Anolis sagrei: one gene and its partners. Each later gene encodes a partner of the first gene's protein in a complex. Links are inferred from orthologs where the notes say so. Each region holds a gene or a part of one and is shown in the gene's direction. Other genes may lie near its edges.

Region 1 (7,702 bases):
TGAAGAACTGTTGCTGACTACAACAGTGCCAGCATTCCAACTTTATTAAACCTACCAACATCTTAAATGGACTTTCCTATGGTGGTACCCTTATGAAACGGATGACAGCTACTACATCAGTTTGCACATTCTAATCACGTTCCAGTGTCACGAGAGATTTTTACTTATAAATAACCTATGTGTATGCAACTGGTAAAACCAGAGCCTACATCCAGTATTACAGATAAAGAGACATTGTTCATCCGCCAATGTTGTACATGTATGAAAACTGTACTGTATCTACAACAAACCCCATACTTCCTATTGGAGAGTACAATAATGTAAATCCTAAAAGCACCACTATTTTAGCGTAATAAAAGAAAGTCCAAAGAGCTCCTATATAGACTACTCCAGATAACTTTGCTTCATTGGTATTTGTAGCTTATTGTAACTTTTTTAAAAGAAATACAGGATCATCATTGTATTGTACAAAAGCGCTTTGATTAACACAACAGCTATCTAGTTTTTTAATTTTAGGATAAAAAACCTGTGGAGACAGTGACCTAGTCTTATTAAAATGAGTCCTTTCAGTATAATGTCTGCCTAAAGACATTGCCTTTAATATCTGTTGGGAAGGAAATGTCCAGATTTTTCAACCTTTTATTGTATGTTTCCTTTTCCTTGTTTACATAGGGAACAATGTTTATAGTTGTGTGTACAGTGGGGGTCTACAACAAGAAGTGTATATTTTAAAACGATTTTTTAATGATTTAACAATTTTTTTGTAAATCATTTTTGGGCTTCTGCAGCTGTAGATTCTCACTGTGAATTCCCTTGCTTGCTCATGCATAAGTGTATTTGCAATACCAAATATACAGGTTTAGTACTTTTGCCTGTTAGTGATTGTTTTACATGTGTAACGTTTTGGTTGAGATGTTAAATGGTGGACGAGTACTGTGGATGTGAATGTGGGAAGTAATTTTAATCATGTGTAATTGGTCCCAGGGCCTAAGTTGCAGTAATTACCTTTTTGCTGATTTATTTAACAATGCCTTGTTGCTTTGTATGCATTAACGTTTGGGTGTAAAGATTGCGTGTAAAATCCAACAGGGAGCCACAGTATTTAAATTGACCAACCTAATGTTACAACTGCTTTGAGGTGGCCAAATGTAAACTAAAAGCCTTAATTAAAAGTGGTGCAATTTTGTATGACTTAGCATCAGTAGTTCAATAAATTTGGATTGCCATGCAAGGGCTTGCATTACAACTATCTATAAGTGAATGTTTTGTATCTTTTGCTGATGTTAGCCATAAGGTGGTTAAAATACTTGGACAAAAAAAGGATTTAGGACTTGAACATAGGGTTTACAGTTGATACAGAAGTCAACAAGAAAATGGTATTTGTCACCAATAAGTCATCATGGATGTATGCTCCTAAACCACTAATGTTCCAATAATGTAAAATTTCAACAGCAATTTTTGGAATTGGATCAATCTTCATTGCTGTTTTAATTCTTCTAAATCCCAGTCCAATACTGATCACTTTTTAATTTTACATCATATAAACGTATTTCATTATCAGATCCATAACTCTGTTTTAGGGATTAATAAATTAAATTTACCATGCATAGTCTGTTTTAATTTCACTGCGTTAATACATTCATACAATTGGGATAAAACCAAAGACACTCTGTGAACATATTTCTCTTTTGTTTTTATCTATTCATGACTTTGATTTTTGTAGCTTTCTTGAAGCTTCTCTTCCAAATGGAGCAAATGTAAAAAGCAGTTACATCATTTTTTGTAGTTCTCAGGATTTTTTCCTACAATCCCAACATATAGTTGTTGTTGTGGGCTCTATTTACCCTCTCACCTCTTTAGATCAATCTGGAAGGGCCCTCTAGATACAAAAAAACACCTGGCTCCAGTAATTCCTTTCTTATTAGAAATGGGATTCGAAAGGACTAATCTAATTAATCTCATTGAACTATTCTTGAATATGAAGTTTTAAGTCTTGCAACCTAAAACCAAGCTGAACCAAAAACTAAGTAAAGAACCAACAGGGTAATATACAGCTTGTTGATTTCTTGGCAGTAGAGAGAGCATTCATGGCGAAATTCCCATTTAGGCTACACATTTCATGTCCTATTTCTTATCTTAATTGATTTGATTTTGTTTGCATCGCTTGACTGGTCTTTTAATTTTAGAGCACAGGGGATTTCTTCTTGCACTATCTAGGAAGTTCACAGATGGTGCAGAAGTAAACACAGAAATGTAGCTGATTCTCAGATACCGAATACTCATCTATGAACCTTTCCTTGATACTCCTTCAGTTCAGAAGAAAAAAGAGGATAAAGTGTATAGCTAAGAATAGAAAAAGTGTACAACATCAGAGATCCCATATTTTATGATGGATGAAAAGACGACTGACCTCAGCAGGTAGAGAACAAGAAACGCTGCAATGAAATCCTCCTTTATGTACCATTAAGAGCCCTCACAAAGCTATGCATCTATGGCTGAGCCAGCTATATTTGGAAGCCCTTTCTTTCTGAAGGAGGACTGAAAGAGATAGCATATTTTGCAACATCTCAAAGAATTAAACCAGGATGCACGTGGCCAGGCAACATCTGAATGTGGCAAAAGTTATTAATAAAGAACATACAAGCCAGGAAGTCTTCACCTGTTTGCTTTTACCTGTGCCACTGGAAAAGAATGGGTTTTGTCTCTTCTTCTGTGTGGCCTTGCACGGATTGTTTTTCCTTTGCTTTCAAAACATTTTTGTAGTTGGATCTGTAAGCTTTATCATCATTAGGGCATGAGTGGCTGAAAAACCTGGTGAAAACAGGATGGCACCAAAAAAGAGAACTGTTCATTCTGTTTCATAGCTATGTATGTAAGCACAGCTTCCCTTCCAGAAGAACATTAAGGCTCAAAGTGAGGTACAACATGGTTAAAACCAACAAATGCAACACCATTAAGATGCATATATCAAAATATTTTTTATTTAGAACTTTTGTATCCCGTTCTACTCTACCTCCGTGGAGGGATTCAGACCACGGCTAATAGCAAAAATTCAATGCTTTACAATACATAACATAAATAACATACACAGTAAGTTCTAAAATGCATATAAAAGACAATCATCAGGTTAAAAACATCATCCAACTCAATCCAATTATTCATTGAATCTTCGTCTATGCCGGATCATCTATCAAACTGCGAATGCCTGATTCCAGAGCCAGGATTTTAGCTGCTTCCTGATTGATAAGAGGAAGGGGGCAGACCTAATCTTGCCAGGGAGAGAGTTCCATAGCCAGAGGTAACCACAGAAAAGGCCCTGTCTCTCATCCCCACCAACCACGACTGCGAAGGTGGTGGGATCGAGAGCAGGGCCTCTCCAGATGATCTTAGCATCCTTGATGGTTTATAGGAGGAGATGCATTCGAACAGGTAAACCGGGCCAGAGCTGTGTAGGGTTTTATAGGTTAAAACCAGCACTTATGCACTAATACCAATAAAGGAAAGCCAATACACTCCAAAATTTTCAACATGGGTAACAGATGGGGTGCATCTACACCCTCCAGGTGTTTTGGACTTCAACTCCCACAATTCCTAACAGCCTACTGTTCGGAATTGTGGGCCAAAGTTTGCCCATGCCTGATCCACACTGTAGAAGTAATGCAGTTTGACACCACTTGAACTGTCATGGCTGAATACTGTGAAATCCTGCCAGCTCTAGTTTTGGATGGTCTTTAGTCCTTTCTGCCAAAGAGTACCAGTATCACCCCAAGTCCCAGGATTCCAGAACATTGAACCATGCCAGTTATAGTAGTATCAAACCCCATTCATTCTGCAGAGTAGTTGCACCCATAGTGACACCTTTACTTTAGGGTGGTTTTGTGTACTGCGTAGTACCGTTTAGGTCACGTGTAGGTGTCTAAAGTCTGAGCCCTACAAGAATTTCGCATTTAGACCCGAGTCCTAGACTTCATGATACAAATACTCGGAAATTTTTTGTTTATGTGATTTATATTGTTTTGTATTGATTGTTTTTGTTATTGCCTTGTTTACTGATGTACTGTGGGCTTGACCTCATGTAAGCTGCACCGAGTCCCTTGGGGAGATGGTAGCGGGGTATAAATAAAGTTTTATTATTATTAAATGCCAAAAAAGGGGCACTGAATCTGCCCATCAGTTGTCAAATAGCGGCTTTTCTGGCACCTTTAACCTGCAATCTCTCATCAGGGCCCTTCCACACAGCCATAAAACCCAGAATATCAAGGCTGAAAATCCCACAATATCTGCTTTGAACTGGGTTTTCTGAGGGCCCTTTAACACAGAATATCAAGGCAAAATAACCCCCAATATCTGCTTTGAACTGAAATGCATGGCAGTGTGGACTCAGACAACCCAGTTCAAAGCAGATATTGTGGAATTTTCTGCCTTGATATTCTGGGATTTATGGTTGTGCGGAAGGGCCCTGAGTCCACGCTGCCATATATTCCAGTTCCAAGCAGATACTGCGGGGTTTGATTGAGCTGTCAGGAAGGGGCCCCAAACTTCCTTCCAGCGATGGAAAACTTTCCCGCCACGCCCAAAGCGGTGGGGGCTAGGCGGTCTTCCTCGCCTGCAGGGGGCGCCATGTGTACATCTCCATGGAGCTATTCCCTTGTCTCGGGAGAGAGCCTCCTGCCCTCATCCGGGTCCTGAGTTTCACTTCCGCTTCCGGCGGGCGGGAAGTCTCAAGCAACAAGCGGCAGCCGGCACTCGGCTGTGGAGAGCAGGTGAGTATGGCGGAAGGTCTATAGGCGAGTCAAAGGCTGGAGGGGAGGCGTGAGCATTGGGTTGAGAGGTGAGGCCCTCCCGCCTTCTATAGTTCAGCAGCCGAGGAAGAAATGGCCTCAGGCATGTCCTTCGCCTCAGCAAAGCAGCCAAGGCCTCTTCTCTTTTCTTTCCCGCCGCTTCAGCTTCAAGATTCGGCCTTTCTCCAGGTGTTTTGGACTTCAACTCCCACAATTCTTAACAGCCTCGGGCCCCTTGGTTTTCCCCCTCAGCCGGGGATTGGAAAGCAGAAGGTGTCACTGTCTCAGTCACTCACTTGGGGATTCTGAAGTCTTGAATTTCAGATAAGGGATGCTCGAGCATTGAGCCTCTCGGAAGTGCCCGTTCGCTTTCACACTGCACTGCTTGGATGGCAATTTAATCACCTTTTCTCTGGGATATACAGTTTTGTGAGGGACGTAGGATTGTCTCTATTATGGGGAAGGTGAAAGAGACAGCCCCACAAAAGATAGGTAACATTAGCTATGTTAGGAATTCTCAATTATTTCACTGTAGCTAAAAACGATTAACCTCCCCCAGTCCAGTAAACATGTATTTGAATTTAGAATAATAGAATCAAAGAGAGTTGGAAGAGACCTCATGGGCATTCCTGATAGATGGCCATCCAGCCTCTGTTTAAAAACTTCCAAAGAAGGAGCCTCCACCACACTCCGGGGCAGAGAGTTCCACTGCTGAACGGCTCTCACAGTCAGGAAGTTCTTCCTCATGTTTAGATGGAATCTCCTTTCTTGTAGTTTGAAGCCATTGTTCCCCATCCTAGTCTCCAGGGAAGCAGAAAACAAGCTTGCTCCCCCCTCCCTGTGACTTCCTCTCACATATTTATACATGGCTATCATATCTCCTCTCAGCCTTCTCTTCTTTAGGCTAAACATGCCCAGCTCCTTAAGGTGCTCCTCATAGGGCTTGTTCTCCAGACCCTCAATCATTTTAGTCATCCTCCTTGGGACACATTCCAGCTTCTCAACATCTCTCTTCAATTGTGGTGCCCAGAATTGGACACACTGTTCCAGGTGTGGTCTAACCAAGGTGGAATAGAGGGGTAGCATTACTTCCCTAGATCTAGACACTGTGCTCCCCCTTTCTTGAAACAGTGGGCTGTTAAATGGGGCTTACTCCCAGCTAAGTATGTATATTTTATTATTTATTTACTGTATTTTCACCCAGGCCTTCTCAACCCCGTAAGGGACTCAAGGTAGCTTATATATATAGGCAACAATTAGATGCCAAAAACACACATAATAAAAAAATAAGCATTAAAAAAACCAAAATCCATGGGTGCTCACATCCCATCATACACAACGGCATAGTAAAATTGTGGCCTTTGTATGTATTGGCAAATTGAAGGTTTGGTTTTTGGATTTCAAAAAAATGTTTTCAAACCATGGATGATTGAATCTGTGGTTGGGCGACTGCAGGAAAAATCAGTTGCCTGAGGTGTTCCTCTCATTCCTTCATAGAGAATTAACCTTAGTAGGTACTTTGGAATATTACTGTGACTGGCAGATGTTCTTCACACTGTTCTCATTCATTCACACTGTTCCTTGGAATATTACTGTGACTGACATGTTCTTTACACTGTTCTCATTCATTCACACTGTTCCTTGGAATATTACTGTGACTGACAGATGTTCTTTACATTGTTCTCATTCATTCACACTATTCTTTGGAATATTGGAATAACTGGTATGTTCTTTATACTATAGCCATTCATTCATTCATACCATTCCACAGGAATATTACTGTGACTAACAAGTATTCTTTACACTGTTCTCATTCATTCACTCACCCTGTTCCTTGGAATGTTATGTGACTGACAGGTGTGCTTTTACAGTATCTATTCATTCATTCTCACCGTTCCTTGGAATATTAGTGTGGCTGACAGCTGTTTCTCACATTATTCTCATTAATTTATTCCCCTTTTCTTCCCACAACTTGAAAGTGTTATTCTTTTGGACCCCAATAGCCAGGTTCCTTCAGATAGAATGGTCAATAGGGACTAGACTTTAAAAATTGAAAATTTTCCAAGTTTGGCTCTCTTAGAGATCAATGGTTTTCAAAAAGTGGAGTGTGTGTATGTGCTTGCATATGCAAGTGCAACAAGTCTGATAAACTTACTTTGGCTTCCGGCCTGATTTGGTTTTTTCCCCCCATCTTGCATCAGTCCAGAAATCTATGAAGGCCTTCATCCTCAAATCTTTCTCTGGGTGCCTTGCCATCTGAACACAATGAGAAGGAGTATCTTTTCAATAGCGGCACTTCACTGCTAGATTTTCTCTCTAGAGCAGGCCTGCCTGGGTACCCATGTTAATTGTCATGTTACTGGTGCTGTACAAGCATACTGGTACTAAGCAAACTAATTCTGCTTTTGCAGGCTTTCTAGAACTTGTAATGTAGGATTCTGAACTTTCAATCAGACTTTATTTTTGCAATCTGTTTCATTGTACTATTCTTATTTTATTTTATTCTGGTTTGTATTCCTTATGTTTTCATAATAAGGAGGACTGGGATACTCTAGACCAGTGTTTTTCAACCTGTGGGTCCCCAGATATTTTGGCCTTCAACTCCCAGAATCCTAACAGCTGGTAAACTAGCTGGGATTTCTGGGAGTTGTTGGCCAAAACACCTGGGGACCCACAATAATGCCATTGGAATGCTGGCTGACTTACTTGTGCCCCATGGCCATCATGGTACACTTTAAAGAACAACTAAAACAGCCATTGTTCATCTATTTTAATTGTTTTACTACGTCAGATGTTTTAATGTTAATTATGTTTTAATGTACTTTGTTTTATGTGTTTATTTGTATCATGTTTTTCATTTTTGATGTTTAATTTTCTTCATTAATTGCATTCTTCAGACAATTAGTTCACTATTGTTATTT
Region 2 (7,645 bases), on another chromosome or scaffold:
ATTGTGTATATGTGTGGCTTGTGTATATGCATATATGTGTGTAGTTGTATATGTATGTATCTGTATGTGTATATTTGTGTGTGCTTGCATAAATATATATTTGTGTATATATGTGTGCATGTGTCTGTGTATTTTTCTGTGATTATATGTGTATATGTATATTGTGCATGTGTGTGCTTGTGTATATGCATATATGTGTGTACGTATGTGTATGTGTGTAGGTGTATATGTAGGTGTGTATATGTGTATATTTGTGTGTGTATATATATGTGTGTATTTATGTGTATAGATTTGTGTATTTCTTTGTTTATATGTGTATACGTAACTTGTGTATATGTGTGTTTGTGTATATGCATGTGTGTAGGTGTATATGTATGTATACTGTATGTGTATATTTATGTACGCTTGCACACATATATGTGTGTATATATGTGTGCATGTCTCTCTGTATATTTCTGTGTTTATATGTGTATATGTATATTGTGCATGTGTGTGCTTGTGTATATGCATATATGTGTGTAGGTGTATATGTAGGTGTGTATATTTGTGTGTTTGCATATTTAAATGTTTATGTATGTATGTGTGCATGTGTATATGAATGTATGTGTATATGTATATATGGTTTATTTTGGGGGGTTTAAAGTCCATTCTGCTGGGTTTTTTTGTGTGTTTTAGGGGTGATGGTCACTCATTGGCGTCAATTCACCCAGTGGTTTTTGAGTTATGTTAATCCCACAAATGAACATTACATTTTTATTTATATAGATTCCAAGAAAATAAGGCCTCCGCCCACTGAGACTTAGACTCACTCTGGAATATTGCAGTTTATCAACAACATCATCACTGGTAAGAGGGATCAGACCTAGCGAGAAACAGAGAAAGTAGTGAAAACACATGTAGACTCAGGTGCAAGGTAAAAGACGATCAACTAGGAAGAAACAAGATATATTCTGGTTTCAAAACCATGGGAGATTTTCGTGATCTAATTACTGTGGTTGTATATTGTTTGGTGTTTATCTGCATTGCTTCTTGTATTTTATTTTTATTTTATATTTATTTTTATTGTCATTACATTATTGTATTTTTATGCTGTATTTTTGCTTTATTGTATTGTCAGGCTTGGTCGCATGTGAGCCGCCCCAAGTCCCCTTGGGGAGATGGTGGCATGGTATATTAAAATTTTTATTATTATTATTATTATTATTATTATTATTATTACTACTACTACTACTACTAGCCCCTGTCACGCGTTGCTGTGGCCCACATGGGGGTTCTGTGTGGGAGGTTTGGCCCAATTCTATCGTTGGTGGGATTCAGAATGCTCTTTGATTGTAGGTGAACTATAAATCCCAGCAACTACAACTCCCAAATGACAAAATCAATTTTTTTGAGTGAAGGGCATACATTGGGTTGTTAGGTGTCATGTGTCCAAATTTGGTGTCAATTAGTCCAGTGGTTTTTGGGTTCTGTTAATCCCACAAACGAACATTACATTTTTATTTATATAGATTATTATTATTATTATTATTATTATTATTAATTAAGATCACATGGTTCACAGGATCCAGCTGGCCTGGATGATCTACGGATGGAACAAATCAAGAACTTTGGTCCCAAAGCAAGGCGCACGCACCCAAATACCAGGGAGTCACTCTGGACCGTGCTCTTACCTACAAGAAGCACTGCCTGAATATCAAGCAAAAAGTGGGTGCCAGAAACAATATCATACGAAAGCTGACTGGCACAACCTGGGGATCACAACCAGACACAGTGAAGACATCTGCCCTTGCGCTGTGCTACTCTGCTGCTGAGTATGCATGCCCAGTGTGGAACACATCTCACCACACTAAAACAATGGATGTGGCTTGTAATGAGACATGCCGCATTATCACGGTGTGTCTGCGCCCTACACCACTGGAGAAATTACACTGCTTAGCCGGTATTGCACCACCTGACATCCGTCGGGAAGTAGCAGCCAATAGTGGAAGGACCAAGGCAGAGACATCTCCAGCTCATCCCCTGCTTGGGTATCAGCCAGCACGTCAACGACTTAAATCTAGAAATAGTTTTCTAAGATCTACAGAGACACTCGCTGGAACACCTCAGCAAGCAAGAGTCCAAAAGTGGTAGGCTCAAACCCAGCACCTCAACCAATGGCTGATACCAAAGGAGAGACTCCCCCCTGGGCACACAGAAGACTGGGCGACTTGGAAGGCATTGAACAGACTGCGCTCTGGCACCACGAGATGCAGAGCCAACCTTGAGAAATGGGGCTACAAAGTGGAATCCTCAACATGCGAGTGTGGAGAGGAGCAAACCACTGACCACCTGCTGCAATGCAACCTGAGCCCTGCCACATGCACCAGGGAGGACCTCCTTGTAGCAACACCTGAGGCACTCCAAGTGGCCAGATACCCATCAAAGGACATTTAACCAACTACCAAACTCACAAGTTTTGTATTTGTCTGTTTGTTTGCTTTGTTCTGTTAGAAATGTAATATAATGGACTGGTTGCTCTGACACGACAAATAAATAAACAGGATCCAGAATTCCCAAAGGGCATATAACATAAGAAAAATATAGCAGGAGAGGAAAAACTTGGGGATATTACTAAAAATGTAATTAATAATGTTGAATGCTAGTACAATCTGAAAAATTAAATGTGTTGGGCATTACACTATTTTATGAAAAATCCAGAGTTAGAAAGAGGCTCGGCATCAAAGCATTGGAATGTATTTTATGTGAATTACGCACATAATAAAATATTGTTTTAAAAACAAAACTAGAGAAGCCTGTGTTTTCCTATCGTGTCCTATGCCGGTTACTCACCCAACCTATGTGCAATGAACTCATCATGGAGGACCGAGGAGTTGGCATCTATCTGTACCCAGTCTATGGCTGCAAACAAAATAGTACAAAATGAGATAATAGCAATTTGATTAATCATGCTCAAAGTCTTCAATTCGTAGTATTGGACTTTAACATACTGTTTATGTATACATATAAGAATTTGAGTCCCAACATTGAATGTTTGCCGTATATATGCTGAGTCCACTTCGGGATGAGAAGGGTGGAATATAAATGTTTAAAATAAAATAAATTAATAGATAAACAATAAAGAATAGATAAATACCGATGGTGGGAACTTCAGCAATGAACACTCTCCTGATGGAATTAGCTACTCTGGAAAAGAAAAACAGAGAAATATTCATTGTTATTATTATTAGCAGTATTATATGTATTTATATCCTCCAACACAGAACCCCCATGACCACCAGAGTGGGCCACAGCAACGTGTGGCAGGGGCGGCCTGGACGAATTGACACGAATTTTTGACACAATACACCTAACAGTCCAACGAGTGTTCATCACCACTAAAAATACAGCCCCCCCTAGCAGAACAGACTTAAAAACCCCAAAATGCACCATACACACACACTCATATACTCATAAACTCATAAACACACATATAAAAATATACCCAAGCACACACAACTATAAACACACATACATCTGCATACACACACATATATACATGCACAAATATACACATGCACACATACACACACATATAGAAACAAATATGCATATAGACAAGCACACACATATACACACACATATACACAACGGTGGCGCAGTGGGTTAAAGCACTGAGCTGCTGAGCTTGTTGATCGAAAGGTCGCAGTTTCGATTCCGGGGAGCGGCATGAGCTTCCGCTGTCAGCCCTAGATTCTGCCAACTTAGCAGTTCGAAAACATGCAAATGTGAGTAGATCAATAGGTACCGCTCCGACGGGAAGGTAACGGCGCTCCATGCAGTCATGCCGGCCACATGACCTTGGAGGTGTCTACGGACAATGCCGGCTCTTCGGCTTAGAAATGGAGATGAGCACCACACCCCAGAGTCAGACATGACTGGACTTAATGTCAGGGGATGGCATCCTTGAAGTGACTGGACTGACCTTGAGGGAGCTGGGGGTGGTAACGGCCGACAGGGAGCTCCGGCGTAGGCTGGTCCATGAGGTCACGAAGAGTCGGAGACGACTGAACGAATGAACAACAACAACAATGTCAGGGGACTACCTTTACCTTACACATAGGCACACACACACACATATGCAACACATATATACACACATATATACACACAAATACATATATATACAGGAGGGCCACAGCAACGCGTGGCAGGAGACAGCTATAAATAAATAAATCTGTTAGTCTTAAAAATTTTGTCTAAACATTTTGTAGGGGATAATAATAATAATAATATGGGACTATTTCCCAAGCCCAGGAGGTGGCCTGAGACGCCTCCGTGCCTGAGTGGGGCAGCAGAAGCACTCTAGGCCCCGGCTTCCCTCTCCAGACTAGGCCCTGCCCCTCCTCCACACAAGCCCCCGCTCACGCCAAGTCCGTGTTCTCCACGATGAACTTGACGTTCTCGTCGCTGAGCTCCGTGATGCGGACGGTGGGCTGGTTGGCGTAAGGCATGGCTGGCGGGAGACCCAAACAAGGCCGCAAGAGCCTGAAACACCACGGCGCATGCGCAGCAGGAACGAGGCCGGGATTGGCGCGGACGCCGAGAGCCGCGGGGGCTGCTGGGAGACGCCGGCCGCGCTCTCCGCCAATCGGGGAGCAGAGCGGCGCCGACGTCATTTCCAGGCGGCGGTCGGCGGCGAAACAGGGAGGAAGCAAGCAAGGTAGGCCCTCGCTGACTGGAAGGCGGTTCTTCTCCCATTCCAGGCTCCCTTCTCTCTCTCTCTTCCTCTCGAGAGCCTTGTCACACTGCTTTACTATAGCCCGGCTATAATATTATACCTTGGCAACGTTTTGAGGGGTTTTGTGGTGTGGCGAGGCCTTGGAATGCCTGAGAGGCCCCTATTGCCGGCCTCATTGCCCTCTCGCATGTTGCCATGGCAGCCAAAGCGGGATAACAGTGCTTATAGGTATTGTCGAAGGCTTTCATGGCTGGAATCACTAGGTTCTTGTGGTTTTTTTCGGGCTATAGAGCCATGTTCTAGAGGCATTTTCTCCTGACGTTTCGCCTGCATCTATGGCAAGCCTCCTCAGAGGTAGTGAAGTCTGTTGGAATTAGGACAATGGGTTTATATATCTGTGGAATGGCTTGGGTGGGGCAAAGAGCTCTTTTCTGCTGGAGCTAGGTGTGAATGTTTCAAATGACCACCTTCATTAGCATTTGAAGGCCTGGCTGAGCCTGGGAAAATCTTTTGTTGACAGGTGTTAAGATGTGCCTGGTTGTTTCCTCTCTGCTGTTTTGCTGTTGTAATTTTAGAGTTTTTTAATACTGGTAGCCAGATTTTGTTCATTTTCATCGTCTCTTCCTTTCTGTTGAAATTGTCCACATGCTTGTGGATTTCAATGGCTTCTCTGTGTAAAACTCTAAAATTACAACAGCAAAACAGCAGAGAGGAAACAACCAGGCACATCTTAACACCTCTCAACAGGGGATTTTCCCAGGCTCAGGTTGCATTGCAGCAGGTGTTCAGTGGTTTGCTTCTCTCCACACTCGCATGTCGTGGATTCCACTTTGTAGCCCCATTTCTGAAGGTTGGCTCTGCATCTCGTGGTGCCAGAGCTCAGTCTGTTCAGCACCTTCCAAGTCGCCCAGTCTTCTGTGTGCCCAGGGGGAAGTCTCTCATCTGGTATCAGCCATTGGTTGAGGTTCTGGGTTTGGGACTGCCATTTTTGGACTCTCGCTTGCTGAGGTGTTCCAGTGAGTGTCTCTGTAGATCTTAGAAAACTATTTCTAGATTTAAGTCGTTGACGTGCTGGCTGATACCCAAACAGGGGATGGGCTGGAGATGTCTGCCTTGGTCCTTTCACTATTGGCTGCTACTTCCCGGCGGATGTCAGGTGGTGCAATACCGGCTAGACAGTGTAATTTCTCCAGTAGTGTAGGGCGCAGGCACCCTGTGATAATGCGGCATGTCTCATTAAGAGCCACATCCACTGCTTTAGTGTGGTGAGATGTGTTCCACACTGGGCATGCATACTCAGCAGCAGAGTAGCACAGCGCAAGGGCAGATGTCTTCACTGTATCTGGTTGTGATCCCCAGGTTGTGCCAGTCAGCTTTCGTATGATATTGTTTCTAGCACCCACTTTTTGCTTGATGTTCAGGCAGTGCTTCTTGTAGGTAAGAGCATGGTCCAAAGTGACTCCCAGATATTTGGGTACGCTGCAATGCTCCAGTGGGATTCCTTCCCAGGTGATCTTCAGAGCTCGGGATGCTTGTCTGTTCTTGAGATGAAAGGCACATGTCTGTGTTTTAGATGGGTTGGGGATCAGTTGGTTTTCCTTGTAATAGGCAGTAAGAGCACCTAGAGCTTCAGAGAGTATCTGTTCAACCATCTCAAAGCTCCCTGCTTGAGCAGTAATGGCACGATCATCAGCGTAGATGAAACTCTCTGTCCCTTCTGGCAGTGGCTGGTCATTTGTGTAGATGTTGAACATGGATGGAGCAAGCACGCTCCCCTGAGGCAGTCCGTTCTTCTGTTTCCGCCATCTGCTTCTCTGACCCTGGAACTCAACAAAGAAGCTCCTGTTTTGTAGCAGGTTTCCTATGAGGCTGGTGAGGTGGTCGTCCTTTGTGATATTATGCTACCCCTACATACTACCCCTACATACAAGCAGCGTTTAAGCTCTTTGAGGCAAAATCCATAGCACAAATGATGTATGGAGCCCTTCTCAAACTATGCCCCTCTGGAGCAAGTATAATCAAAATTAGGTTCTTGTGGTTTTTTTCGGGCTATATGGCCATGTTCTAGAAGCATTCTCTCCTGACGTTTCGCCTGCATCTATGGCAAGCATCCTCAGAGGTACTGAGGTCTGTTAGAACTAGGAAAAAGGGTTTATATATCTGTGGAATGACCAGGGTGAGACAAAGAACTCTTGTCTGCTGGAGCTAGGTGTGAATGTTTCAAATGACCACCTTCATTAGCATTTGAAGGCCTGGCTGAGCCTGGGGGAATCTTTTGTTGAGAGGTGTTAAGATGTGCCTGGTTGTTTCCTCTCTGCTGTTTTGCTGTTGTAATTTTAGAGTTTTTTTAATACTATTGTCGAAGGCTTTCATGGCTGGAATCACTAGGTTCTTGTGGGTTTTTTCGGGCTATAGGGCCATGTTCTAGAGGCATTTTCTCCTGACGTTTCGCCTGCATCTACGGCAAGCATCCTCAGAGGTAGTGAGGTCTGTTGGAATTAGGACCATGGGTTTATATATCTGTGGACGGGCTGGGGTGGGGCAAAGAGCTTTTCTCTGCTGGAGCTAGGTGTGAATGTTTCAACTGACCACCTTCAGTAGCATTTGAAGGCCTGGCTGAGCCTGGGGGAATCTTTTGTTGAGAGGTGTTAAGATGTGCCTGGTTGTTTCCTCTCTGCTGTTTTGCTGTAGTAATTTTTGAGTTTTTTAATACTGGTAGCCAGATTTTGTTCATTTTCATGGTCTCTTCCTTTCTGTTGAAATTGTCCACATGCTTGTGGATTTCAATGGCTTCTCTGTGTAAAACTCTAAAATTACAACAGCAAAACAGCAAAGGAGCAGATTGTTTGTGAGGGAGAAACTCATTAAAATGGGTCATAAAATATACTTTCATACAGGTGAGGAAATATACTCTGAGGACAAAAACTG
Region 3 (7,120 bases), on another chromosome or scaffold:
ACTGATGCCTCAGCCAGCTGCAGCTCCCATGATTCCATGGCATCAAGCCCTAACCATTATAGTAGTGTCAAACTGCATTAATTCTACAGTGTAGATGCCCTCTGGGACTGGTAAAAGTCTGATGTGAGAACAGTGCGTTTCCAAGCCTTTGGTAGTGTTAAGCTGTGCCTTTGCAACTAGGTTTAGTCTGTGTATTTCTTTGATTAAAAAAAAGTTACACATTCCATAACTTTCCAGTGACCTCCCTTTTGGAAGACTTTCTGATAAACTGAGACTTCCATCTAGAAATATTCATTCACTTAGTGTCAACAGATTTGAAACAATAATCTAAAGAAGTATGTTACATTGCAGGTTAAAAATATGTGCACTTACCTGAATTTCATCAGGGACTTGATTTATCAGAAGGGTATATTTTTTACACAGAAATAAAGTTGTTGCTTTTAAAAAGAAATGTATGTAATACTCTTAAAATACTGTCACATTATAAAAAGCCTGAAATGAAAGCAAACTAGTAAGCTAACTATTCTAAAGTGGGATATAGGACAATAATATATGTTTTCTCATCATTTTGTTCATGAATTAGTGCATTGGATGCTGAAAACGAATTCCTTGTCCAAGAAGCATTAGATCGACTCATGGAAGGAAGGACTGTTCTCATAATTGCCCATCGTCTGTCCACTATTCAGAATGCGAATTCTGTTGCAGTTCTTGATCAAGGAAGAATTGTTGAGTGTGGGAAACATGAAAAATTGCTTGCAAACCCAAATGGACTCTTCAGCAAATTAATGAAGAAACAGTCTTTTCTCCAGCACAGTGAAAATGTTGCATTAAATGTAAAATCTTGAAGAAGAAAAAAGACTTTAAAATGAAATAATATAAAGAATGGAAATGTAACACATTTCCAAGTAATTTTAAATTATGTTTCAATTCATGTATAATAAATGTGTTTATATTTTTCCTGTGTATTTTAAAACATGGCTGTACTAAACTTTTTATTCAGAGAATCTAATTATAATTATATTCTTGTGAAGATATGAAACAGTAAATTGTTTTTACAATGTAAATATTTTTATGCTGCTTTGATTGATGGATATGGATGTTTACTATTTTTTTAAACCTGACGGCGTGGAAGCACATTCTTTTTCCATTTAAGATGGTGATAAATTAAATGTGTAATTCTGGTATTTTGTTTAAAGTCATTGTATTGAAAAGATAGAGATCAGTTCAGAGAGCGTTTTGCTTACAGAAAAGGGGGGCTCTTTTAACTCTTACATTCTGAAACTGCTTTTGTTTTAAAAAGCAAACATTTAAAAAATTCCTCTACTGGATTTGCAAGTCTTCTGCAATAGAACCCAAGTCATTAGAATTAAATCCCTACTGTGGTTTTGAAATTTTCCTCATCACACACAGTATTGGGATGTCTGTTCTGAGCTTAAGAAAGAAAGCAATCTGTATGCTGAAGGGCCCAGGTTCAATTCCTACTATAGTAGATTACAAAAAATTTTGGCCATCAAATCTGGGCTAAATCTTTATCAGATACTATAAAGACTATTACCATTCTCAGTGAGTTAAGTGGACCTATGATTTGACTTGATAAAGGTCATGCCAGCCAGCCGCTTTCCCTGCTCCTGGTTCCTGCCACTTTCCCTTCTGCCCACCACTTTACTTCACCACTCCTGGCACTCCTTGCACCCCTGGGAAGGTAGAAAGGAGGGATGGAGAAAAAGAAAAGGAGAAAAAGAGAGGTAGGAAAAAGAGGAGGAGGGAGAGAGAAAGGGAAGAAAGAAATGTAAGTAGGAATCAGGGAAGGAGGAAGAGTAAGAAAGGGAGAAAGAAGAGGTAGAAAAAAAGAGAGGGAAGGAATTCAGAATTCAAAAAGCCTGGTGTAGTGGTTTGAACCTTGGACAATGGCTCTAGGTGACTTTAGGCAAATCACACTCTCTCAGAGGACGGCAAAGGCAAATCTCCTTTGAATAAATCTTGACAAGGAATCTCTGTGGTCGCCCTAAGTCTGAAATGACTTGAAGACACACAACAACAATCTTAATCATTATTATACCTTACTTGAAAATTGAGGTGCTAAATACCTTTCTGCAGCCCCAAGAGGCTTAGCCTGTCTAGTTTGGCCCCTTAGTACTGAGGTCATCATTATAATTTAGTTGAAAGTAATCTCATTTTTAAATAATTTATTGACAAGATTTGCACTCAAAAAGCGGTTTTTCCAGGATAAGAGCCAGTGTAGTTTAGTGGTTTGAGTGCTCTGCCTATTGTTCTGCCCCGCTCAACCAAGGCAATTCACTGTGTGACCTTACACCAATAATACTCCTCAGTATTGAACCTCATTAAGTTATCATGTAAGTATTATGAAATTATTATCAAACTTTAGGAAATGTTTGCCAACATTTCCTACGAAAACCTTGCATGTGTGTGTGTGTGTATAGGATTTATTGCTTATTTCACATAAACTCAAGGTTTTTTTTCCTACATCCGTGACACACCTACACAACAGGTCAGTGGACACAGCAATAGTTTCGATGCACAGTTGGGAAAGCTCTGCATAACCACCATCAAATCCCATTCTCAGGCCCCCTCTACACTGCCACATAATCCAGATTATCAAAGAAGATCATCCACATCTGCTTTGAACTGGATTATGAGTCTACACTGGATCTTATATGGCAGTGTAAAAGGGGCCTCAGTCTCAGAGGAAGCCAGTGTTAAATTTCTTCTGAACAAATTTTGCCATGATAAAACCTCATGATACATTTACTTTGGGATCGCCATAACTCAGGATGGACTTGAAGGCACACAACAGACATGGATAGGAAGCCAGTGAGGAGTCCTGGTTTGGTGCTGGAGACCAGAGTACAAATCCCAATTCAGCCATGGAAACCCCCTGGATGGCTTTGGATCAGTTACTGGCCCCTTCTACACAGCTGAATAAAATCCCATATAATCTCCTTTGAACTGGAATATATAGCAGTGTGGACTCAGATACCCCAGTTCAAAGCAGATATTGTGGGATTTTCTGCCTTGATATTTTGGGTTATATGGCTGTGTGGAAGGAACCACTCTCAGGAGAAGGCCAAAGCAAGTCTTCTAAGGACAGACACATCCAGAATGGGTTGTTGTAGATATTTCGAGCTATATAGCCATGTTCTAGAAGCATTCTCTCTTGACGTTTCACCTGTATCTATGGCAGGCATCTTCAGAGGTTGTGAGGTCTGTTAGAAACTAGGAAAAAATGGGTTTATATATCTGTTTATATATCTGAAAAGTCCAGGGTAGGAGAAAGAACTCTTTTGTCTGTTGTAGCTAGGTGTGAATGTTTCAATTGGCCACCTTGATTAGCATTTGATGGCCTGACAGTTTTTAGGTGTAGCTTCTCACTGTTGTTGTAGGTATTTCAAGCTATATAGCCATGTTCTAGAAGCATGACGTTTCACCTGCATCTATGGCAGGCATCCTCAGGTTGCGAGGTCTGTTGGAAATTTGATTTATATATCTTGTCAGTTGGAGCTAGGTTTGAATATTTCAATTTGCCACCTTGGTTAGAATTTGATGGTCTGAGTTTTTAGGTGTAGCTTGTTACTGCCTGGGGGAATCCTTTGTTGAGAGGTGATTAGCTGTCCCTGATTTTTTGTCTTGAGTTCCCCTGCATTTGAGCATTGTTCTTTATTTACTGTTATGATTTTAGAGGGGTTTTTAAAATACTGGTGGCCAGTTATCGTTCATTTTCATGGTTTTTTCCTTTCTGTTGAAATTGTCCAGATGCTTGTGGATTTCAGTGGCTTCTCTGTGTAGCCTGACCTCCAGAATGCCCAGTGATGGCGAGGCTATAGCTCAAAAACGACTTGAAAGGCATCCAGCAACACAAGGGAAAGGATAATGGAGCTTGCAAGGGCCCTCAAAAACCGTTCTGAATTTCCCTTAAGCTGAATGAGGAAGAGCAGCGGGCGTTAACCTTCCCGCCAAAAGCTAAACTCAAAAACTTCCGAGGCGGACCTTCAACTCTGCCCAGCTGGATCACGGAAGCCCCGCCTTTCTCAAGCGTTCCAGTCAATCCCATCCTGGGAATCCGGATGACGCTATTAGAACGCGCGAGAAACACAACGTCTACGTCATCGGGAGCCGCCCGGGAACTCGTGCACTTCTGAAAGCTCCGTGTATTCTGTGAGCTTTGGCGTCCTGAGGTGGAACCATGTATCTTTCGACCCCCGTGGGCTCCCCTCACACCCCGGTCGGTGGTGGGTCAGGCCGAAGGGGCCTCCGTCTCGGCGGCAGGAAGGGCCAGGCGTCTGTCAGTTCCCCGGCGCTGTTCTCGCCCGTGGCCCGGAGGAACGTCAGCTCCCTGTCGGCGCGGTGAGTACGCGAGGGGCGGCCTACTCGGGGTGAGAAGGCTAAAGGCCTGGTGAAACTACAACATCAAACTACCGAGCAGATGGGGATAAAGGGGATAGGTGGAGAACCTTGTACGTCATTAATTTTGGATTAGGAACTTTTAATTAATGGAAGGGAACTAATAATAAATCAGGCATGGGCCAACTTGTGCCCTCCAGGTGTTTTGGACTCCAACTCCCACCATTCCTAACAGCCTCAGGCCCTTTCCTTTTCCCCCTCAGCCGCTTAAGCTGAGGGGGAAGGGGCCTGAGGCTGTTAGGAATGGTGGGAGTTGGAGTCCAAAACACCTGGAGGGAGGGCCCAAGTTTGCCCATGCCTGGAGAGTGAATATTTTGTATCCAAAATGCACAGGGAGATTTTTTGTTTGCAATTATTATTTTGGAATGTATTTGCATATACATTATGCAAATCTTGGATATGCGATCGACAGCTAAACACAAAGTGTATTGATGTTGCATATACTTCTCTCTCACACACACAGCCGGAAGATAATTTTATTCACGAAGCAATGTGTTTAGGCGCTATTTGTTTTATTTGTCATATCAGAAGTGAACCGAGGGTAGAATTGTACTGTATTTACAGTTGTAGATCAGAGGATAACGGGGCAGTATAGAAGGGCCCTTGGCTGCCCAGATTTGGGTTGTGGAGCAGTCCAGCTTTCCAGATAAGGGATTCTCTGTCATAACAACAACAGGAAATAAGGACCCAATGGCCACCACATTAACTGTATGTACAGTACAACTTTTAGACACTGAACCCTCAGAAAGCAAAAGTGTCACACTCTCAGGGTCCTTCCACACTGCCCCTTTATCCCATGATCTGATCCCAGATTAACAACAACAACAATAATAAACTTTATTTGTATTCCACCCTATTTCCCCAAGGGGACTCCGGGCAGATTCCATACAACAGCCAACTAGAATTCCCAAAACTTGTTTATCATAGGTTATCGACAGTGAGGAGTTATACATATTTATATAAGCAGATAGTCTGGAATCAGATCCTGGGATAAAGGGGCAGTGTAGAAGGGCCCTCAGCTGCCCAGATTTGGATTGTGAAGCATTTCAGCTTTCCAGATAAGGGATGATGTTCAACCTGTCATAACAGCAACAGGAAATAAGAGCCCAGTGGCTATCGCATTAACTGTACATGTCTCTATATCATCATGTGCATTCAAATTGATCCTGACTTAGTAGGCACCTATCTTTAGCTTTTTTTTATTCAGAGGATGGTTTGCCAATGCCTCTCTGTAAGTCTAAGGAAATGTAACTTCACCAGGGATAACTAGCAAGTTTCTGCGGCTGAGTTGGGTTTGGGACCCTTATGTCCCAAAGTCGCACTCTGCGAATATGGATACACCTTATTCAATTGTAGCTCTTTAGAACATTGGCTCCATCCTGTGGAATCCATACTTTGTGGAGATAGTCAGCAATCACACCTAGAAAGTTTTAGTGCTGTTGCTCATGGGCGTGTTGTTTGTGTGTGTGTGTGTGTGCACATGCTTGTCTTCAAATTAATTTATAGTAACCTCATGAATTTCATAACATTTTCTTAGGAATAACTGGAAGAAATTCTAAGCATCTTGTCAAAGGGCAAAGTGGTGTCATATTGCTATATCTCTGTGTTGTATATATTCATGTAATTTGATACATCTGTAATGTATGTATTGAATGTGTCCATTTTCAAGAAATGGAAATGACAGCTGTGGAGGCTGGGCTGTTCACTATAAGTTTTGGAGAAGGCAGAAGAGAACTCATCCTTTTTCTCTGACATTTTGTTCCCAAGGAAAATCAGTGTTCTGAAGTTGGTAACTGCTGTGGCTTATATTAACTTCAGAACATTGGATTTCACCATAGATAGAACTTAATAGCAGCCCTGTTGGTTTTTAAATGTGAGGATTTTCCTTCCATGGCAAGAAGAAAATGCATTTGTGGGTCGTCATCCCCAATAAATGAAGTGGCAACTGAAATCTTTGTTTTGTTATGTGTTCCACACATTTGTTCAAACAGTGATGAATGAAATTAGCATAAGTCAGTGAAGCAATGTTCTTGACAAGGTTATTTTTTTTTTATTTGAAACATTTATATTTTGTCCTTCTCACCCCGAAGGGAGCACAACATATATATGGCAAACATTCCATGCTGGGACATAAAATAACTATAAATATACACAAACTCTAAAATCAGTTGTAGCTACTTTACCACTTAATTGAAACAGAAATATGGAAAATGTTGGTTACTTCTCTTTTTGCTTAGGTGTACTCCCACAAAGGTTGTGCATCATCCAACAGGAAGTGAAACCATTAACTATGACGTGAAAGGGTTTGGCTCGCCCCTACCAGTAAAAGTTATGGAGGCCTTGAGAATGGCTGGTGGTAAGTGTTTTATTTTTCTATGCAAATAACCAAACATGGAAAAATAGCTAAAATCTTCCTGCTAGGTTTGTAACATTCCTGGGAACATTGCCAATATCTTTTAAAGTTTATGTCTACAGCTATTTTAGAAAGCATGGGTTTGAAGATTGAGATAGAAAGATGTAACCTTAGTGTTATTTATTTGTACATGAGATGCTTCTTATTTCGATTTAGGTAGAAATAGCTTTGTTTATCAAACCAAGCAAATGGTATTCATTTTAACGTGTGGTTTTGCTGCTTTCCTTAAGGAGATAGTTCTAAGTATGAGAATATTCTTAGGCCCCTTCTATACTGCCCTATATCCCA
Region 4 (6,919 bases), on another chromosome or scaffold:
TAGCAACCAGGGCTGGCAGGACAAATCAGGCCTGCTAGTAACATCAGTCTCTGACTTTTGCATGTCATTTCCACAGGTTTGCTCTCCTTGGATTCCATGCTTTCCTCTCGCAAATTCATGGACCTAAAATGTTGGGATACATGCTTTCGTTTTGTCTGAAGATTGCAATAAAACCTGCAACATTGTTGCTGTTTTTGACACCAAACTGCCAAACTAGGAAGTAGCATATTCTTTGTTCTAAACAGCCCATCCATTCCAGAGAGGAAATTTCTATTTAAATCTGTAGACAGAGAGGGAAACATATAAAAAAAGACATTAGTTTCACATGAAGTTCACACAAATTTTATATCCAGTGGCTGGAGACCAGGGTTCAAATTGTTGCTTGGTCATGGAAACCAATTGGGTAACACTAGTCAGGTAACATTCTCTCGGCCTCAAAAAACTAAGCAAACCTCCCTCTAAACAAATCTGGCGAAGAAAACTTTGTCATAGGTTTGCTTTAGGGTTGCCACATTTAGAATTGGCTTGAATGTGCACAACAACAAATGTGTATTTACAAAGCATAGCTGAAACAAAAATAACACAAAACATTGCATTCTGCTTCTTTATAATCAAACTGCTCTATCTGATTTCATGTACTGATAAGCATGGAGCTTACCATGAGTTCATGAATTACGGCTCTGTTCCCTGAAACAGTATAAACAGACCTTAATCAGTTTTTCTGCCATCTTTGAAACATAGATACAATCAGGAAAAATAAATACATAGAGTACTCACAAGAATACATCCTTACACTACAACATATAAACTTTACACTGATACAGAAACATTAACATCAGCAGCTACTGGTTGTTCACATACCTACAGAAACAAAGCACAGTTACTGCATTTTTAATTTTCATTTTTCCCTATTGTTTTTCTATGTGTTCTTTAAATCATGTAATCCCTCTCTCTCTACACTCTGGGATTTGAAGAAAGAAAGAAAGCTGGATAGAGAAAAAGAATGTCCCCCTTTACATTGTCCAGTTACACTGCTATTACAACTTTAACCCAAACAGTAAACACATTATTTATTTATTTACTATATTTATATACCGTCCCTCTCAGCCTGCAGGCGACTCGGGGAGGTTCACAGTCGGTACCAAGACCATAAAATGCCATTTCAATATAATAAAACAGTTGAATAATAAAAACCATAACAGAATCAATAAAATCAATATCATTATACAGCTCAAAATAATAATACTGTATTTACTTGATTCTAATGCTCACCTTTTTTGACTAAATTACCTTCCCAAAATTGGGGTACATATTAGATTTGCGTAACATGGTAAATGCTTTTTTTGGGTTTCAAGGTTTTGAAAATTAAGATGCGCATTAGATTTTATGGCACATTAGACTCTAGTAAATAATATTGGTGTCTTCGTTTTTAGGTCTGTTCCTGGGTTATATGGGACGCTGATTTAGAAAATTGAATTGGATACACTACATCAGCTCTAGTTTCTTAGATATCATTGATTTTCTATGGGTGATGAAGACTGGTAGATGGCATATGTTCTGCATCTAAAAAACTAGAACTGAGAAGGGGAAACTGGTGTTATTTTTGGAATCAGCAGCTCAAAAATACCCAGAAACAGGGCTAACGTTTGGGGCACTAAAATGTGAGCATTGTGGGAGAATCTAGAACAGGCATGGGCAAACTTTGGCCCTCCAGGTGTTTTGAACTTCAACTCCCACCATTCCTAACAGCCTCAGGCCCTTTCCTTTTGCCCCTCAGGCGCTTAGGGGCTGAGGGGCAAAAGGAAGGGTCCTGAGGCTGTTAGGAATAGTGGGAGTTGACGTCCAAAACACCTGGAGGGCCCAAGTTTGCCTATGCCTATTGCAGAATCAATGCAAATTGAGCCCACTTGAATTACCACAGCTGATGAGGCACCAGCACTATTGAGAAGGCCAAAACGCCTTGTAAAACTAGAACTCCCACCACCCCATAGCATTGTGCCACGGGCAGTTAAAGTGGACTCAAAATGAATCAATTTGGCAGTTCAGATCCACCTCTGGCCTGAGCAAATCCCCAAAGCGTGGCGTCCAGCTAACTGAGCCACTACATACATACCAAACGCTAAGCAGGACTAAAGAGCGCGCTCTCAGCCCTGACGCCCCATACTGCGCATGAGCGCTGCTCTTCCGGGTTTGCCGCGAGATTTCGGTTCCCGAGTGCCCTCGGATCTCGCGAGACGTGAAACAGCCTTGTCTCATGTGTTACCACTCTCTACCTCTATAGATCCTGGCAGACGTTTAGCTTTTGCTTTCTAAAGGCCCTTCCACACAGCCATTTAACCCAGAATATCAAGGTGGAAAACCCCACAATATCTGCTTTGAACTGGGTTACCTGAGTCCACAATGACATATATGCCACACAAGTTCCATCTTGTCTCCTGTGCTATGCTAATAATATAATTTAACATAATATATTGTATATGCATTTAGTATTTATAATATAATGCAATATAATACTACTAATAATAATATGACATTATAATTATATATTTTATATTATATGTAATATTACTAGTAATATTACAATATAATGGTATAATTATTATTTATTTACGACATTTAAATGCCACCTTTCTCACCCCGAAGGGGACACACAGCGGCTTACAAGACATACAATATATTATAATATAATTATTAGCATAGTACAATATCAGTATTAAATATTACTATATCCTGGGCACACAGAAGACTGGGCGACTTGGAAGGCACTGAACAGACTGTGCTCTGGCACCACGAGATGCAGAGCCAACCTTCAGAAATGGGGCTACAAAGTGGAATCCTCAACATGCGAGTGTGGAGAAGAGCAAACCACTGACCACCTGCTGCAATGCAACCTGAGCCCTGCCACATGCACCATGGAGGACCTTCTTGCAGTAACACCAGAAGCACTCCAAGTGGCCAGATGCTGGTCAAAGGACATTTAACCAACTACCAAACTCACAAGTTTTGTATTTGTCTGTTTGTTTGCTTTGTTCTGTTAGAAATGTAATATAATGGACTGGTTGCTCTGACACGACAAATAAATAAATTACTATATTGTACTATATCATATTGTAATATTATTAGTAATATTACATGTAATATAAATATATAATTATAATATATTATTATTAGTGTTACATTGCATTACATTATAATATTATAAATATTATAAGTATATACAATATATTATTGTATATACATATAATATTTATAATATTATAATGTAATGCAAGTTCTCCCTAGGGGGTGAGAAGGGTGGGGTAGAAATGCCTGAAATAAATAAATAAATTATATTATTAGAATAGCACAGGAGACAAGGTGGAACAATATAATGGTATAGTACAATATAGTAATATATAATACTGATATTGTACTATACAAGATATATATATATATATACACACACAAGATATATATATATATATATACACACACACACACAATATATCATATTGTGTGTGTGTATATATATACATACATATATATGTTGTAGGCCGCTCTGAGTCCCCTTGGGGGTGAGAAGGGCGGCATATAAATGTCGTAAATAAATACAATAAATAAATATATTCCAGTTCAAAGCAGATAATGTGGGATTTTATTTAGCTGTGTGAAAGAGGCCTAAGATTCAAGAGTATTCATTCTCCAAGAAAACCCAATGAAATTAACTTGGTCTCTATAAGTCGACAAGGAAGTTAATAACACATCCATTCCTAAAAGTCCCAAAATTCGTTCTTCGCGCCAACCGAGCAGATTGGGCGAGTTCACGTTCTCTTGACGTCATCAACCCGCGCCGTACCATTTCTCCCCTCCCTTCGCTTCTCTGTGACGTCCCATGCCTTCTGGCAACCTCGCGAGGAAGGCGGGGAGGGAAATCCGATTGACAAGGGACTTCGCCTATCGAAGCGTTGCGATACAAGAAGAGGCGGGAGGGACGCTCCTCAGCGCCCAATCGCGACTGAGCTCTGAAGAGGGACGCCGCATTGTTGACCGAGAAGCCGTTTAGCTTAGGCGTCCGGCTTTTGAAAGGGAAGACGCGTGTTTTCCGGTGGTGGTCCAAAGTCGCCGGCGTTCCTCCGACTCGGCAGCCCACCCGGTGTCCGGTAGAAGGAGCAGGCCGAGGCGAGGAGAATGAATTTAGTGTCAAGGTTGGTTTACAGCGCGAGGGAACCGGGAAGGGAGGGAGGGAGCGAGTGCTCGCCCGCTTCTTGTTGCCATGGAAACTCAACGGCGCTTGTTCTCCGCCCCCTCCCTTTTTGCCTCGCGAGGCGCCTCAGGCGGGCGCGCGCTCCGTGTCCCTCAGCTGCCACCTGGCGAAAGGCTCACGCGCCGCCCCCGCCTCTCTCTCTTTTCCTCTAAGGCGCTTAAGAACACCCAGTCCCTGCCTGTTTCGCCCTTTTGGCCCTTGCCTTGGTTCAATCATGGGTTGAGGTTTTTGCTGGCGTTGTATTCCATTGTGAACACACGCAGACAGACCCACAGGATTTCTAGGAAACGGAGTAGAAGGAAATTGTTTTTTTTCTCTTTCTTTCATCTATATATAAATTGAAATATAATGTTTGTTTGTGGAATTAACAGAACTCAAAAACCACTGGACGAATTGACACCAAATTTGGGCAAAAGACACCTAACAACCCAGTGTATGTCCTTCACTAAAAAAAAAATGATTTTGTCATTTGGGAGTTGTAGTTGCTGGGATTTATAGTTCACCTACAATCAAAGCGCATTCGGAACCCCACCAACGATACAATTGAACCAGACTTGGCATACAGAACTCCCATGACCAACAGAAAATACTGGAAGGGTTGGTGGGCAGTGTTCTTTGGTTTTGGAGTTGTAGTTCACCTACATCCAGAGATCACTGTGGACTCAAACAATGATGGATCTGGACCAATTCTACACAAATACTCAATATGCCCAAATGTGAACACTGATAGAGTTGGGGGGGGGGGGGGAGAGAATCTTGACATTCGGGAGTTGTCGTAGCTGGGATTTATAGTTCACCTACAATCAAAGAGCATTCTGAATCCCACCAACAATAGAATTGGGCCAGACCTCTCACACAGAACCCCCATGTGGGCCACAGCAACACATGGCAGCGGACAGCTAGTCTATATATAAATTAAAATGTAATGTTCATTTGTGGGATTAACATAACTCAAAAACCACTGGCCACAATTTGGCTACAAGACACCTACTAACCCAAGGAGTGACTATCACTCTAAAAAATTGATTTTGTCATTTGGGAGTTGTAGTTGCTGGGATTTATAGTTTACCTACAATCAAAGAGCATTCTGAACTCCACCAATGATGGAATTGAACCAAACGTGGCACACAGGACTCCCATGACCAACATGGACATTGATGGGCATTGATCTTGAGTTTGGAAGTTGCAGTTCTCCTACATCCAGAGAGCACTGTGGACTCAAACAATGGTGGATCAGGACCAAACTTGGCACAAATATTCCATATGCTCAAATATGTACACAGATGGAGTTTGGGTTAAAAAGTAGACTTTGACATTTGGGAGTTGCATTTACTGGGATTTATATTTCACCTACAATCAAAGAGCATTGTGAACTCCATCAATGATGGAATTGAACCAAACGTGGCACACAGAACTCCCGTGACCAACAGAAAATACTTAAGGCCATCCAGTCCAACTCCCTTTACCAGGGCAAGAAAATGTAATAAAGCGCTCCTGACAAAGAGCCACAAAGCCATAGATGATTTCACACACACACAGATACAGTATCATAGATTTGAAAGAGACCCCTAAAGAAGGACAATTCCATGTTGCATGTTCTAGGGTAGGCAACCCAGACAATCTCGACATCAACATGGACAAAGACACAGCAAGAAATACTGTTTACCCACAAGACATTACATATATTAGAAACCAGCACTTTCTCATTACTTCATTTTCCAGATCACCAGCCTGTGGGATTAACATAACTCAAAAACCACTGGACAAACTGACACCAAAATTGGACACAATACACCTATTGTGTAAACCAACAGGTGACCATCACTCATCAAAACACTGAAAAACACAATGCAAGAGACTTAAAAAGCCAAAAAAATAAAAATACATTATAACGCATGTGCAAAACCACATACAGTGTTCCCTCACTTATTGTGGGGGTTACGTTCCAGGACCACCCGCAGTAAGTGAAAATCCGTAAAGTAGGGATGCTATATTAATTGTGAGGTTTATACATTATTGGATGTTATTGGGGTGGCATCGGGGCCTCCAACGGGCTGCATCCCAACCCGGAATGAGGAGGTGAACAAAGCATGTCCGCTCGCAGCCCGAGCCATCAACAAAATGGGCAAAAACAAGTGACAGGACACAAGGGGCCACACACCAGCCTCCCTTTCTGAGGCCCATTGTAATGTAAATATTTTAAATTCATTTTTTAAAAAATACCTGCAACAGCAAGTCCACAAAAAGCAAATACCGAAATATATACACACACATATACACAGACTGGGCCACACCAACGCATGGCAGAGGACAGCTCGTTTTAAATAGATGTCTTCCCCTTCTCCCTGTAGTCTTTTCTTCTACTTGGGGTCCCCAATTCTCCAGTGCACGCATGGGCAAACTTGGGCCCTCCAGGGATTTTGGACTTCAACTAACAAAATTCCTAACAGCCGGTATTGATAGTAATGGCATTACATCGTGCTCTCTATAAAATATTGTGCAAATTGTTTTTCTTCTTGTTGCAGAGCGGAGTTTTCTGTTGAAAAAAATAAGAGAAAGAAAAGAAGAGACTTGACTGAAGAACAGAAGCAAGAGATCAAAGATGCTTTTGAGCTCTTTGACACAGATAAAGACAAAGCTATAGATTACCATGAACTGAAGGCAATTAATTTTCAT

The links.
Region 2: NUP107 (region 1) and NUP93 share a complex: the UniProt entries of both Homo sapiens proteins name them as parts of the nuclear pore complex. The link is inferred for Anolis sagrei from reciprocal best matches to the Homo sapiens genes NUP107 and NUP93.
Region 3: the proteins of NUP107 (region 1) and NUP133 are in contact, whole or in part, in a crystal structure (PDB 3CQG), measured with the Homo sapiens proteins. The link is inferred for Anolis sagrei from reciprocal best matches to the Homo sapiens genes NUP107 and NUP133. Residues at the interface, in NP_065134.1 of Homo sapiens: Leu875, Gln876, Ala878, Asp879, Val881, Ser882, Ser883, Glu884, Tyr889, Lys894, Leu897, Arg898, Leu900, Leu901, Gln902, Arg905, Ser908, Leu909, Leu912, Asp917, Pro918, Leu919, Tyr921; in NP_060700.2 of Homo sapiens: Trp937, Leu938, Ile941, Asn942, Gln944, Leu946, Tyr963, Ala965, Lys966, Lys968, Thr969, Leu970, Gly972, Leu973, Lys975, Leu976, Ala977, Leu979, Ala980, Ser981, Asp982, Ile992, Glu999.
Region 4: NUP107 (region 1) and CETN3 share a complex: the UniProt entries of both Homo sapiens proteins name them as parts of the nuclear pore complex. The link is inferred for Anolis sagrei from reciprocal best matches to the Homo sapiens genes NUP107 and CETN3.

The regions. Positions count from the first base shown.
Region 1 is NC_090025.1:143,085,809-143,093,510, forward strand, and holds the start of NUP107 (nuclear pore complex protein Nup107), read left to right. Parts: upstream 1-4,685; 5' UTR 4,686-4,763; intron 4,764-7,702. UniProt on the Homo sapiens protein: Plays a role in the nuclear pore complex (NPC) assembly and/or maintenance. Required for the assembly of peripheral proteins into the NPC. May anchor NUP62 to the NPC. Involved in nephrogenesis.
Region 2 is NC_090028.1:6,442,331-6,449,975, reverse strand, and holds the start of NUP93 (nuclear pore complex protein Nup93), read left to right. Parts: upstream 1-4,626; 5' UTR 4,627-4,699; intron 4,700-7,645. Other genes in the region: POLR2C (DNA-directed RNA polymerase II subunit RPB3), read right to left, coding at 810-862, 2,830-2,898, 3,134-3,178, 4,405-4,543. UniProt on the Homo sapiens protein: Plays a role in the nuclear pore complex (NPC) assembly and/or maintenance. May anchor nucleoporins, but not NUP153 and TPR, to the NPC. During renal development, regulates podocyte migration and proliferation through SMAD4 signaling.
Region 3 is NC_090021.1:61,261,616-61,268,735, reverse strand, and holds the start of NUP133 (nuclear pore complex protein Nup133), read left to right. Parts: upstream 1-4,102; 5' UTR 4,103-4,201; coding exon 4,202-4,362; intron 4,363-6,656; coding exon 6,657-6,775; intron 6,776-7,120. Other genes in the region: ABCB10 (ATP-binding cassette sub-family B member 10, mitochondrial), read left to right, coding at 584-845. UniProt on the Homo sapiens protein: Involved in poly(A)+ RNA transport. Involved in nephrogenesis.
Region 4 is NC_090024.1:171,867,597-171,874,515, reverse strand, and holds the start of CETN3 (centrin-3), read left to right. Parts: upstream 1-3,902; 5' UTR 3,903-4,167; coding exon 4,168-4,184; intron 4,185-6,768; coding exon 6,769-6,904; intron 6,905-6,919. Other genes in the region: PARS2 (probable proline--tRNA ligase, mitochondrial), read right to left, coding at 1-254. UniProt on the Homo sapiens protein: Plays a fundamental role in microtubule-organizing center structure and function. As a component of the TREX-2 complex, involved in the export of mRNAs to the cytoplasm through the nuclear pores.